Struthio camelus: one gene and its partners. The protein of the gene in region 1 interacts with the protein of each later gene in a pairwise test. Links are inferred from orthologs where the notes say so. Each region holds a gene or a part of one and is shown on either strand. Other genes may lie near its edges.

The links.
Region 2: the proteins of C2H1orf35 (region 1) and DACH1 interact in binary tests that used the Homo sapiens proteins (3 or more experiments, as listed by UniProt). The two-hybrid records come from large-scale screens. The link is inferred for Struthio camelus from reciprocal best matches to the Homo sapiens genes C1orf35 and DACH1.
Region 3: the proteins of C2H1orf35 (region 1) and serine/arginine repetitive matrix protein 4 interact in binary tests that used the Homo sapiens proteins (3 or more experiments, as listed by UniProt). The link is inferred for Struthio camelus from reciprocal best matches to the Homo sapiens genes C1orf35 and SRRM4.

Annotation. Positions count from the first base shown.
Region 1 is NC_090943.1:3,605,094-3,608,832, reverse strand, and holds the start of C2H1orf35 (multiple myeloma tumor-associated protein 2), read left to right. Parts: upstream 1-1,032; 5' UTR 1,033-1,173; intron 1,174-1,390; exon of another isoform or gene 1,391-1,456; intron 1,457-2,081; exon of another isoform or gene 2,082-2,239; 5' UTR 2,240-2,253; coding exon 2,254-2,347; intron 2,348-2,947; coding exon 2,948-3,104; intron 3,105-3,189; coding exon 3,190-3,238; intron 3,239-3,362; coding exon 3,363-3,445; intron 3,446-3,564; coding exon 3,565-3,637; intron 3,638-3,739. Other genes in the region: MRPL55 (large ribosomal subunit protein mL55), read left to right, coding at 237-262, 517-721, 810-953.
Region 2 is NC_090942.1:179,042,268-179,046,006, reverse strand, and holds the start of DACH1 (dachshund homolog 1), read right to left. Parts: upstream 2,330-3,739; 5' UTR 1,203-2,329; coding exon 445-1,202; intron 1-444. UniProt on the Homo sapiens protein: Transcription factor that is involved in regulation of organogenesis. Seems to be a regulator of SIX1, SIX6 and probably SIX5.
Region 3 is NC_090958.1:7,357,742-7,361,480, forward strand, and holds the start of serine/arginine repetitive matrix protein 4, read left to right. Parts: upstream 1-1,010; 5' UTR 1,011-1,037; coding exon 1,038-1,168; intron 1,169-3,739. UniProt on the Homo sapiens protein: Splicing factor specifically required for neural cell differentiation.

The DNA of each region.
Region 1 (3,739 bases):
AAGCCACCATGGGGCTGAACTACTGCGGGGCAAGGGGGGGAGCCACTTTGGGCTGAACCACTGCAGGGTGAGGGGGGGGCCACTTTGGGCTGAACCACTGCGGAGCGAGGGGGGAGCCACTTTGGGCTGAACCACTGCGGGGCGAGGGGGGAAGCCACCATGGGTCTGACTCCGGCAGCCCGTCTTGTTCCTCAGGTCGGCGGCAGAGAGACCTCGCCGCGCTGCCTCGCGTGGTGATGGCGGCGCTGAGCAGGACGCTGGGGTGAGCGCCGGCCCCGCCTGGCCCTCCCTCGCCGCCGACCCCTCCGCCTCAACGACGGCGCCGAAGTCGAAACCCCCGTTTTTCGGCCTGAAACCCAGCCGGGGCCGGCGCCCCCGCTGCCGCCTGGGAGCCCCGTCAGCGGGAGGGTGGGAGCGGGCCCGCGGCGCGCCCCCCCCCCCCCCCCCCCCGCCATTTCTAACCCCCACACCGTGACTTGGCCTCGGCGCTGAGAGATTTTTGCCTCCGGCCGGCAGGTCGCTGGGGCAGCAGGTCGCCCGCGGCCGGCTGCCGCCGAGCTTCCGCCTGCTGCACGCCTCCTGCGGCCGCGGCGACTCCAACAGGACGTCGGTGGCCCGCGTCCGCCGGCAGGCGTACGGCCGGCTCTACCCCGTGCTGCTGGTGAAGACCGATGGCTCTACCGTCCGCGTCCGCTACAAGGAGCCCAAGAAGATCCTGACGGTGAGGCGGCGGCGGGCGGGCGGGAAGGGCCCCGGGAGGGAGCCCTGATCCTGATCCTCGCCGCGGCCGGTTTCTCTTCCCTCTGCAGTTGCCTCTGGACAGCAACGCGCTGCCCGAGGCCGAAAGGAAGGCCCGGCTGCGGCGACAGTTCCCCGCCCGGTTTAAGGCCCCGAAGGAGGAGGCGTTCGAAGACGTCAACCTGGACGAGTACAAGAAGTTTTGGAAGAGCTAAGGGCCGGCCGCTCGCGGACGCCGTTTGGAGCGCTCCCGCCGAGGCTCTAACATAACGTCCGGAAGAGAAAAATTTGGAAAATAATTCTTTTTCGGTGGAATTTCCGAGCGTTTCCTGTCTGGTTTTGTGCGGGGTGCAGGCAGGCTGCCCCTGTGTGGGGGAGGACGGACGTCGCCTGTAGGCCAGCCGGGGAGCCGACGTGGTGGTGGTGGTGGTTGAGGTGGGATCGGGACCCCCAGCCCTTGAGGCCGGCGCTGTTTGGGGGGAAACTCCCCGGTTTCGGTGGTCCCTTTGGTTCCCCCCACCCCCCCCCACCCCCGCGTGGCGGCGCGATGGTGCCGCCCGCCGCCTCTCAACCGTCCCACTCCCCCCCCCCCCGGCGGCGGGGCGCGGTGGTAGCGCCCGGGGCGGGGCGGGAGCGGCGCGCGCCGCTGGGGGCGGGGCGCGGGGTGGGGGAGGGGGAGGCGCAGCGCGGGGCGGCGCGGCCGGAGCGCGCGGGCGAGGTCTGCGGGGGGCCGGGGGGGGGGGGGGAGTTGCGCGGCCCCTGCGCCTTACACCGCCCATCCCCGTCCCCTCGGGGCGGTCCCCCCCCACCCCCCCACCCCCGCGGTGTGCAACACCTCCCTGCGCGGCCTCTGCACCCCCCCGGGCTGTGCAACCCGCCCCCTCCAGCCTCTGCACCCCCCCGGTTCGTGCAACCTCCCCCCCCCCCCGGGCTGTGCAACCCCCCCCGCCCCGCGGCCTCTGCACCCCCCCGGGCTGTGCAACCCGCCCCCTCCAGCCTCTGCACCCCCCCCGGTTCGTGCAACCTCCCCCCCCCACCCGGTTCGTGCAACCCCCCCCCCCGCGGCCTCTGCACCCCCCCGGGCTGTGCAACCCGCCCCCTCCAGCCTCTGCACCCCGCCCCGGTTTGTGCAACCCCCTTCCCCGGCCTCTGCACCCCCTCGGGATGTGCAACCCCCCCTCCCGACTTCTACACCCCCCCCCGGTTTGTGCAACCCCCCCACCCCGGCCTCTGCACCCCCCCGAGCTGTGCAACCCCCCTCCCCCCCCCCCGACACCATCCAGTCTTTGCAACTCTCCCCCCTTGGCCATGCACCCCCCTGCGCTGTCCAGACTTTGCAACACCCCCCCCCACTTTTGCAGCCCCCCTTCCCCACGCTTGCAGCCCCCAAGTCTTTGCATTCCCCCCGCGGCAGGGCTGGGGTGGCGGCAGCGCTGGTGCTGGTGGTGGTGGTGGGAATGACTTTTGCCGCGACGTTTCGCGCCCGCCCCGTCTCCCGCAGGCTCCGGCGGCACCATGTTCGGCTCGTCCCGCGGAGGGGTGCGCGGCGGGCAGGACCAGTTCAGCTGGGAGGACGTGAAGGTGGACAAGCAGCGCGAGAACTACCTAGGTAAGGATGGAGGAGCCACCACCTCTGGAGGAGCCACCTCTGGAGGAGGGAGCCACCACCTCCGGAGGAGGGAGCCACCTCCAGAGGAGCCACCACCTCTGGAGGAGCCACCACCTCTGGAGGAGGGAGCCACCTCTGGAGGAGCCACCACCTCTGGAGGAGGGAGCCACCTCTGGAGGAGCCACCTCTGGAGGAGGGAGCCACCACCTCTGGAGGAGCCACCTCTGGAGGAGGGAGCCACCTCTGGAGGGGGAGCCACCTCTGGAGGAGCCACCTCTGGAGGAGCCACCTCTGGAGGAGGGAGCCACCACCTCTGGAGGAGCCACCTCTGGAGGAGGGAGCCACCTCTGGAGGAGGGAGCCACCTCTGGAGGGGGAGCCACCTCTGGAGGAGCCACCTCTGGAGGAGCCACCTCTGGAGGAGGGAGCCACCTCTGGAGGAGGGAGCCACCACTTCTGGAGGAGGGAGCCACCACTTCTGGAGGAGGGAGCCACCTCTGGAGGAGCCACCACCTCTGGAGGAGCCACCATCTCCGGAGGAGCCACCTCCAGAAGAGCCACCACCTCCAGCACCCGTGACACCACCTTCTCGTACCCGCAGGCAACTCGCTGATGGCCCCGGTGGGCCGCTGGCAGAAGGGCAAAGACCTCACCTGGTACGCCAAGGGCAAGGCGGCGGCGGCGGCGAGCGGCGCGGCGCGCGAGGAGGAGCTGGCGGCCGTGCGCCTGGCCGAGCGCGAGGCCATGCTGGCGGCGCTGTGAGTGCAGAGAGGGGGGCGAGCGGTGGGGGACCCCCGGGCGAACCCTCCCCGCCTGCCCCTTCCTCCTCTTCTCTTCCCGCAGGGGTTACGGCACCGCGCGGCGGCAGCGGCCCGCCGGCCTCAGCAAGGAGGTGAGAACCGCGTCACCCCACCCCGCCGCCGCCCCGGGCCGAGCTCGGTTTTTCGGTGGGCGCCAGGCGGAGACGCCCTCCTTCACCGTCGTTTCTCGGGGGCGGTGGGCTTTGACGCCCGCAGGACCTGGCCGAGGTGTGCAAGCGCGGCGGCGGCGAGCGCAGCCGCCAGGACGTGGACCGGCTGGTGGGATTGGGCAGCTCCAGGTAACGTCCTGGGGTTCGACCTCCCGCGGTCCCTCCTTTCCCCGGCGGAAACGGGACGCCCGGCGGAGCCCGCCCGCGTTTGGCGGACGCCCTGACGCGGCGCTTGCCGTCCCCCGCAGCGGCTCCGCCGGCCGCCTGACGCTCTCCAAGGAAGACAGAGAAGCGGCCAAGATGGGGCTCTCGGTCTTCACGGTAGGTCTACGCTGCGGGAAACGCGAGGTTTTTTGGGGGGTTGGAAGCGAGTAACGCGCGTGTTGCGCTTCCCCTCCCCGGTTCCCTTCCCTTTTGCCCACG
Region 2 (3,739 bases), on another chromosome or scaffold:
GGCGGAGGTCAGAAAGCACTTTCTGTCCCTGCTGCTCCCCCTCCCCACACACACACACCTCCACTCCCCGGCCCGCACGCCCTGCCCCGGGCCCCCGGCAGCCCTCGGCCGAGCGCGGCCAGAAGGGCACAATGACAGTGCGACAACGGCACACGGCACGAGCGGAGGGGGCCAGCGGGGCAGAAACACCCTTTCTCCTTTCTCTCCCTGTCCCAGCGAGGAGGAACTCAGCCGGCTGCTCGGCAGGCTGGTCGGGTGCCAGGCACGGAGGGGAGGAGGGGGCGAGCGCATGTGGCCGCAGGGGAGCCGGCCGGGCGCCCCTCACCCCCGGCCCGGGCCGGCTCGGCGGCCGTGGGAAGCGGCGCGGCGCGGGGAGGGACGGCGGCGGCGGGGAGGGGGGCGGCGGGGCCCCGCGTGGGGCGTGCGAGCGCTGGCGGCGCTTACCTGGCGTTGGTGCAGTCGTTGTAGAGGGTCTCGAAATCCTTCCTGGAGATGAGTTTGCAGCGGTTGACCCCGGGCTGGATGGCCCCCAGCCCCCTCAGGATGCGGACCTGCTCCACGTTGCACACCACGGGCGTGATCTCCAGCCGCTTCAGCTTGGTGTAGACCGTGTGCAAGCCCCCCACCAAGTGCTTCAGGAAGAGGTCGAAAGCCTGGGGCAGGCAGATGAGCTCGCAGCCCTCCACGGTGAAGGAGGCCACTTTGGCCCCCCTCAGATCCACCATCTTGCACTCGTTATTCTGGGGGGTGTTCTCCACCGGGGACGGGGTCGAGTACACCGGCTTGCCCGGCAGGCTGCCGGCCGCGCTGGCCGCGCTGGCATTGGGAGTGGAGGTGCCGCTGCCGCCGCCGCCGCCGCCGCTGCTGCCGCCGCCGCCGCCGCCGCCGCCGGTGCCCAGGCTGGGGCTGCCGCCGCCGCCGCCGCCGCTGCCGCCGCCGCTGCCGCTGCCGCTGGTGGTGGAGGTGACTGTGGCCGCCGCTGCCGCCGCTGCCGCCGCCGCCGCCGCCGCCGCTGCGATGGGCTCCGGCCGGAATAGGTTTGTCCCCGAGGCGGCCGGCGGGGGAGCGATGGACGGAGACGGAGAGGAGGTGGCCGACGAGGAGGAGGTGGTGGTGGTGGTGGTGCAGGCGGCAGAAGTTGAGACCGGAGGCTGAGGGGGGACCAGCTGGGTCGGAGGGATCAAAGCAGCCGGTACGGCCATGGTCACATATACGGCGGAGGGGGGCAGGGGGAGGGGGGAAAGTTCCCACACACACACGCAGGGGAAAGGGGGGAAATTAAAAGAAATATATATTAAAAAAAAAAGGGGGGAGAGGAGAGGAGAAGGGAGGAGGGGGGGAGAAGAAGGGGGGAATAACCCCGGATCAGGTGCTGCGGCGAGCGAGAGAGCAGGGGGCAGAGTGAGAGAGAGAAACGCACAAAGTGTCCCGCAAGTGGGGACGGAGGAGGAGGAGGAGGAGGAGGAGGAGAAGTCCGCTCCGGGCGGCGGGGCTGGGGCCGAGGGGAGGGGGAGGGCAGTTTCTTTTTGTGGTCCTTGCTCTAGCACCACGTTAAAGACGAAGGTGAAAAGGAGGAGGTTTGAAGGACTTCGGTTCTCTCTGGCAAGTACATTGATCAAAGATTGAGAGGGGAATGACAGAGAGAAAATGAGCTGGGAAGTGCTGGCTGCCGCCGCCGCTCGCCGCTCGCTCGCTCTCTGGACGAGTTGTTGTTGTCACACGGTGCGGAGGGGAGGAGCTCCGGCAACTTGAAATACCCTTTGAAGCAGCAAAAGGCTCACTCACTAGTATTAACCCAAATTATCCAACCAGGAACCCGGAGCAGGGAAACAGAGAGAGGGAGAGAAGTCCCTCTTCCTCCCCCCTCTCCTCCTCTTCAGGAACCGTTAGATTACATGTTTCATATTTCACCCCACCAGAGACGAGATGTAATTTTCCCAGCCCTTTTCAGCAATCGCTTGTCAACACAGTTTGTGGAGAAACACGAGCGTTTCAAGCTTCTCCTGAAGCCCGCAGGGAGCGGGGCTCTCCCGGCGCGGGACGAGGGCAGACGGCGCTGCGGGCGGCCGCGCAGCCTGCCCCGCGCCGGGGCACAGGCACAAAAGCAGAAACCTCCCTATTATTATTATTATTATTATTATTAGGACTATTACTATTATTATTTTCACTCCGGAGACCGCAAACGCTCCTCCTAGCGGAGCGGGAGTGGCTGCTGAGGGTGCGGAGGGATGCGCGCCGCGCAGCGCCGAGCACCTTTTGTGGAGCGGCGGGGGGCGCGGCGGTGGCTGCGCGGGGCGCAGAGCCCCGCGCACGGAAGCCCCAACACGGCCACAGCTGCAGGGCACTTCCTGAAAGCGGCCGGATCAAAGGGCACAGCCCGCCCCGCTACACGCCGTCCAGCCACCGCATGGCTTTCACTGCCGGCGGAGGGGGCGGCGGTGCCCTCTTCCCCCGCGGAAGGGGAGCGCGGAGCCGCGGCAGGGACCGAGGCGGCTCCTCCCCCCCCCCCCCAAAAAAAAAAAAAAAAGCGTGCAAAAACCAAGGCCCGGCGGGACTAGGCGAAAACGCCTGAGCCCGGCGGCGTTTTGCTCAAGTAAACTTAAAAACGCGGCAGGCGGGCGGCCGCGGAGGGACGACGGCTCCCGCGCCGCTGCCCGCAACAGGTGACCGCGCCGCGCAGCCCGGCCGCCCGCTAGCGCGCAAAGTGAGCTGCTGCGCTTGCCCACACATGCGCAGTGGCGGATGGGCGGTGTGCCTCCTGCCTGCCCGTGCTGGCCAGGCCCGTGCGTGCTGCCATACCTGGCCGCCCCCGAAGTTTGGGACGGAGTTTTCGCTTGGAGTCGGGCATGTTTGATAGCCCCGGTAGGTGGGATGGTAGGGGTCGTTCAGGGAAGTAGAGAGCTTTGTTTTGCTCTTTTTTTTTTTCTTCAGGGCACTTCAGTTTTTCGTAGGGGCAAAGAAACAGTCATTCATAGAGATGGACCGTCTGCAAAAGCAGAGGGTCGGGTGTACACAGCTCTTTCGGTTTTAAAAACATAAATCATGTACTTAAGTAATTGTGATGCATGTATGTGCCCTGAGCTTCCTTTTTTTTTTTTTTAATGTGTACTATTATATGAGATATGACTCATGGGATGACACATCTACACAGTGGATAATTTCAACTATTGTAATTCTGTGCGGGGGGAATTTCCACTTTATCAGATATAAAGCATTCTCATATATCTATGTGCTCACTGTACTTTAACTTGTTTTCTTATATCTGAGAACATTTATATTTTAATACCAGAAAAACATGTTTTAATACCACAAAGATGTCTTTTGCTCGTAAAGTTTTAGATTTCCTACACTAAAATCTTCAGAATGGACAAATAAAAACAAGAAAACACAGAGTGACACTTTGTTTTGAAATCTCGTGGACCCATAATAGTACAGAACACTTTTACGGAACGTTTGTCTGGAGGAGCTTATAAAACTTTAAATTATAGTGGGAGGATGTAGTGTTGACATAAAACTTGGAATACACTGAAAAATGTATATGTATTGCATCCTCCTATTTTCAGTTGTAGAAAACCAGCTCTGTTCATTGTCGCTTTGCCTCAACTGCCCTTTTCTGTCTCCCTTTCTCTTACACGTTCTAAAGATATAAAACAGACCTTTGAGAAGATTAAGACAGAGCCAGACACGCGTGGTATTGCCACTTGGAGTACTGAGTGAACTCTTAATTAGGAAGCCTACT
Region 3 (3,739 bases), on another chromosome or scaffold:
CTGGAGCCGGGGCTGGGGCTGGAGCCAGGGCTGGGGCTGGAGCCGGAGCCGGGGCTGGAGCTGGGGCTGGAGCCGGAGCTGGGGCTGGAGCCGGAGCTGGGGCTGGAGCCGGGGCCGGGGCTGGAGCCGGGGCCGGGGCTGGAGCCGGAGCTGGAGCCGGGGCTGGAGCCGGAGCTGGAGCCGGGGCTGGAGCCGGGGCTGGAGCCGGGGCTGGGGCTGGAGCCGGGGCCGGGGCTGGAGCCGGGGCCGGGGCTGGGGCCGGGGCCGGGGCTGGAGCCGGGGCTGGAGCCGGAGCTGGGGCTGGAGCCGGGGCCGGGGCTGGAGCCGGGGCCGGGGCTGGGGCCGGGGCCGGGGCTGGAGCCGGGGCTGGAGCCGGAGCTGGGGCTGGAGCCGGGGCTGGAGCCGGAGCTGGGGCCGGGGCTGGAGCCGGGGCCGGGGCTGGAGCCGGGGCCGGGGCTGGAGCCAGAGCTGGGGCTGGAGCCGGGGCCGGGGCTGGAGCCAGAGCTGGGGCTGGAGCCGGGGCCGGGGCTGGAGCCGGAGCCGGAGCTGGGGCTGGAGCCAGGGTTGGAGCCGGAGCTGGGGCTGGAGCCGGGGCTGGAGCCAGGGCTGGAGCCGGAGCTGGGGCTGGAGCCGGGGCCGGGGCTGGAGCCAGGGTTGGAGCCGGAGCTGGGGCTGGAGCCGGGGCCGGGGCTGGAGCCGGGGCTGGAGCCGGGGCGGGCGCGGGGCGGTGCCGGGGCGGACGCACCGCCGGGCCCGGCCCCTTTCCCCGCCTCGCCCGGCACAAAACGGCGGCGGGGGCGGCTCGGCCGCACACGCTCCCCGCGGGCCGGGCCGGGCCGGGCCGGGCCGAGCCGAGCCGGGCCGAGCCGGGCCGAGCCGAGCCGAGCCGAGCCGAGCCGAGCCGAGCCGGGCCGGGCCGGGCCGGGCCGGGCAGCAGCGGCGGCGGCGGCGGGGCCGGGCCGGGCGGGATGTAGCGATCAGCACCGCGGAGAGCGGCGGGGCCGGGCGGGCCGGGCCGGGGGGGCCGGGCCGGGGCCATGGCCAGCGCGGAGCAGGGCGAGAAGCAGCTCTTCGAGAAGTTCTGGCGAGGCACCTTCAAGGCCGTGGCCACGCCGCGGCCCGAGAGCATCATCGTGGCCAGCATCACGGCCCGCAAGCCGCTGCCCAGGTAAGGGGGACCCCTTACCCCCCCCCAGTGTTATCCCCTCCCCACACCGGCTGGGCGAGACTGCAGAGACCCCCCCCCGGCTCTTCACCTCCCCCTCCTTAGGGGCTGGGGGGCTTGGAGGGACCCCCTCGGCCTGGGGGATCTTGGATGCCCCCCGTTAGGGGCTGCACCCGCCGGGGGAGAGCCGCTCCGGAGGAGAGCGGGTTGGGGAACCCTGGCTTCGGCGGGTGCTTTGACCCCGAGAGCTGGTTGCCTCCGGGGGGAGCAGGATGAGGGTCCTGGAAATCTCGTGCTGGGCCCCTGAGGGCACCCGAGAAAGTGTGGGCACCCCCGGCCGGAGTCCAAGCGACCGTCCCCGCTGTGCAGGCCCCGAGGAGCGCGTGTCCTGCTGAGCATCTCGCCTCTGCATCCCCCCTTCGCCAGGCACCCACTGGGAGCCCTCAGGAAGGCGATGCCCGGGCAGGGTGCGACCTCCGCTGCCTGGGTGCAGGAGGCGATGCTGATGTCTCCCCTGGGGGCACGTGGCCCCGAGGCCACGGCTGCTCAGGTGCCAGCGGGCAGCGAGGGGACCGAGGCAGCCCTGGCTCTGATTCCCTCCAGGGCACCCGGCTAGCGGCCGACGCTTTGCTGCAGGCACGTCTCCCGCTGCTCTGCCCCTCTGGGAGGGCACGGCCTTCCCGTGCCCCCAGCTCGCCCCGCCGAGCGGTGCCCGCTGGGCACGGGGCTCTGCCGTGCAGCGCAACACCAGCTCAGCGCTGGCTGGTGCACAGGGCTGGTGCCCGTCCGCCCTGTCCCGGCCGGGCCCAGGGACCCGCTGGCCGATGCCACGGGCTTTGCCGGCAGTGGAGCGGGGGCACGAGCCGTGAAACGGGGTGCAGGGGCTGTTAGCCCCCGAGGGGCACGGCAGTGCTGCCAGGCGTGCAAGAATCCCTGTGGATTCTGCTGCTCCACAGTAGCTCCGCTCCGCTTCGGAGCGCTTTTATTGTCGGTGTCTTAATATTGGTTAAAAATACCCGCTTTGCACTGGTTTTCCAAGGAAATGAGGCTTTCGCGGGTTCCCTATTGTTGCTGTTGGCTGCTCCCCACCCAGTGTGGGGAGCGACCAAAAGTTTCACGAGCAGGATGGGTCGGTAGAGGAGAGCCGCTTGGTCTGCAGGGCGGTGGCGCAAGCTGAGCCTGCGTGCCGGCCGCGGCAACGCCGCCTCTCAGCCGCCGCTCTCGGCGGCCCAGCCGCCCCGGCGGGTTTTGTTAGGGACGAGCGCGAAATCGCCCGTCTCGCTGATTGTGATCAATCCGATTAGGAAATTGAAAAAGACACCGCTTAGCCTTCCAAACGGGAAGAGCAGATCTCATTTCCGCAGAGGGCATTCGGCACGGCTTCGGTCTTGGTGCGCGAGAGGAGCCACCGGTTTGTCTCTCCCCCCCTGCACCAGGTTACGTTATTCACATGTTGGCCCGCAGACCAGCCAAGAGCGCGCTGTGTGTCCGCGCACGCACGCACACGCTCTCTCCTGCCTGAATTGGCTTGAAAGAGCCGTGCTTTTTAAATGTCTCGCAATGAAAGATGAAATAAAACATCAAATTAGGCTGTCGGGGGGATCCAGTGAGCCCGCGCAGCAGGAAGGATGCCCGGCTCCTGCATGGCGATGAAGCAATTCCCATCGACGAGCATCATTCACAGCAAACGTTCGCGTGCGGTGGCTGCGAGCCCGTTTCCGGGCCGCCGGCTCGGCCGCGGGTCGATGCCTGGGCTAAGCGCAGGACGGGAGCGTTTTCAGGCTCCATTAAAAGTTCCCAAATGCAAATGGGCTCGTGTCTTCCGGAGCACTAAGCGCTCGGGCGGGAGGGGGACACCATCTGCGCAGCGGGGAGGAAGCGCTCAGCGGAGGGGGGGGACCGGCCCCGGCGCCTCCGGGCTGCTGCGTTTCACACCTTGGCGCTGGCAAACCCTCCCTGCTGGAGGGCCGGGCGAGGGGCCGTGCCCCGAGGGGCCGCGCCGCGGGCTCGCGAGCTCTCCGCCTCCATCCCCCCCGCGGCTTTTGTCTCCTCGCAGCATATGTCGCCGGAAAGCAAGGCCGCGCAGCGGGGCACGGGCTACGTGATATTCCCCGCGGGCCGGCCATCTGCACCGGCGCGCTCGCCGCAGGCGTTAGCGTCTCGCCGGCCCCGGCAGCCCCCTCACGCGGCCGCTTTCCCTCCGGCGCGGGGCAGGCGCGGCGGTGGTTAGAGGTTTGCTGCAGCCCCGCGGGTGGCAGACGGGGGTTTCCTGCCCGGGGACCAAAGCCGGAGGCTGGAGGAGGGCGAGCGAGGTCGTGCTTTCCCGAAACGCCGCTAGGCCCGCGGCGTGCTTCTGCTCGCCAGCCCGCGCGAGAGGGAGATCGGTCCCGAGGGCTGCGCCGCTCCTCTCGCGTCTCTCTTCCCGGCTCCGCTTTGGGGTCTGGTTTTTCTCCTGAAGGTTTCCCCAGGCTGCTCATCAGCGCGGCCTTTTTTTTTTTTTTTTTTTTCCCCCGAGACTATTCCTGGCTCATTTAAGAGCAAATTAAGCTGCTTGCAGGGAGCAGCCTGGCACCG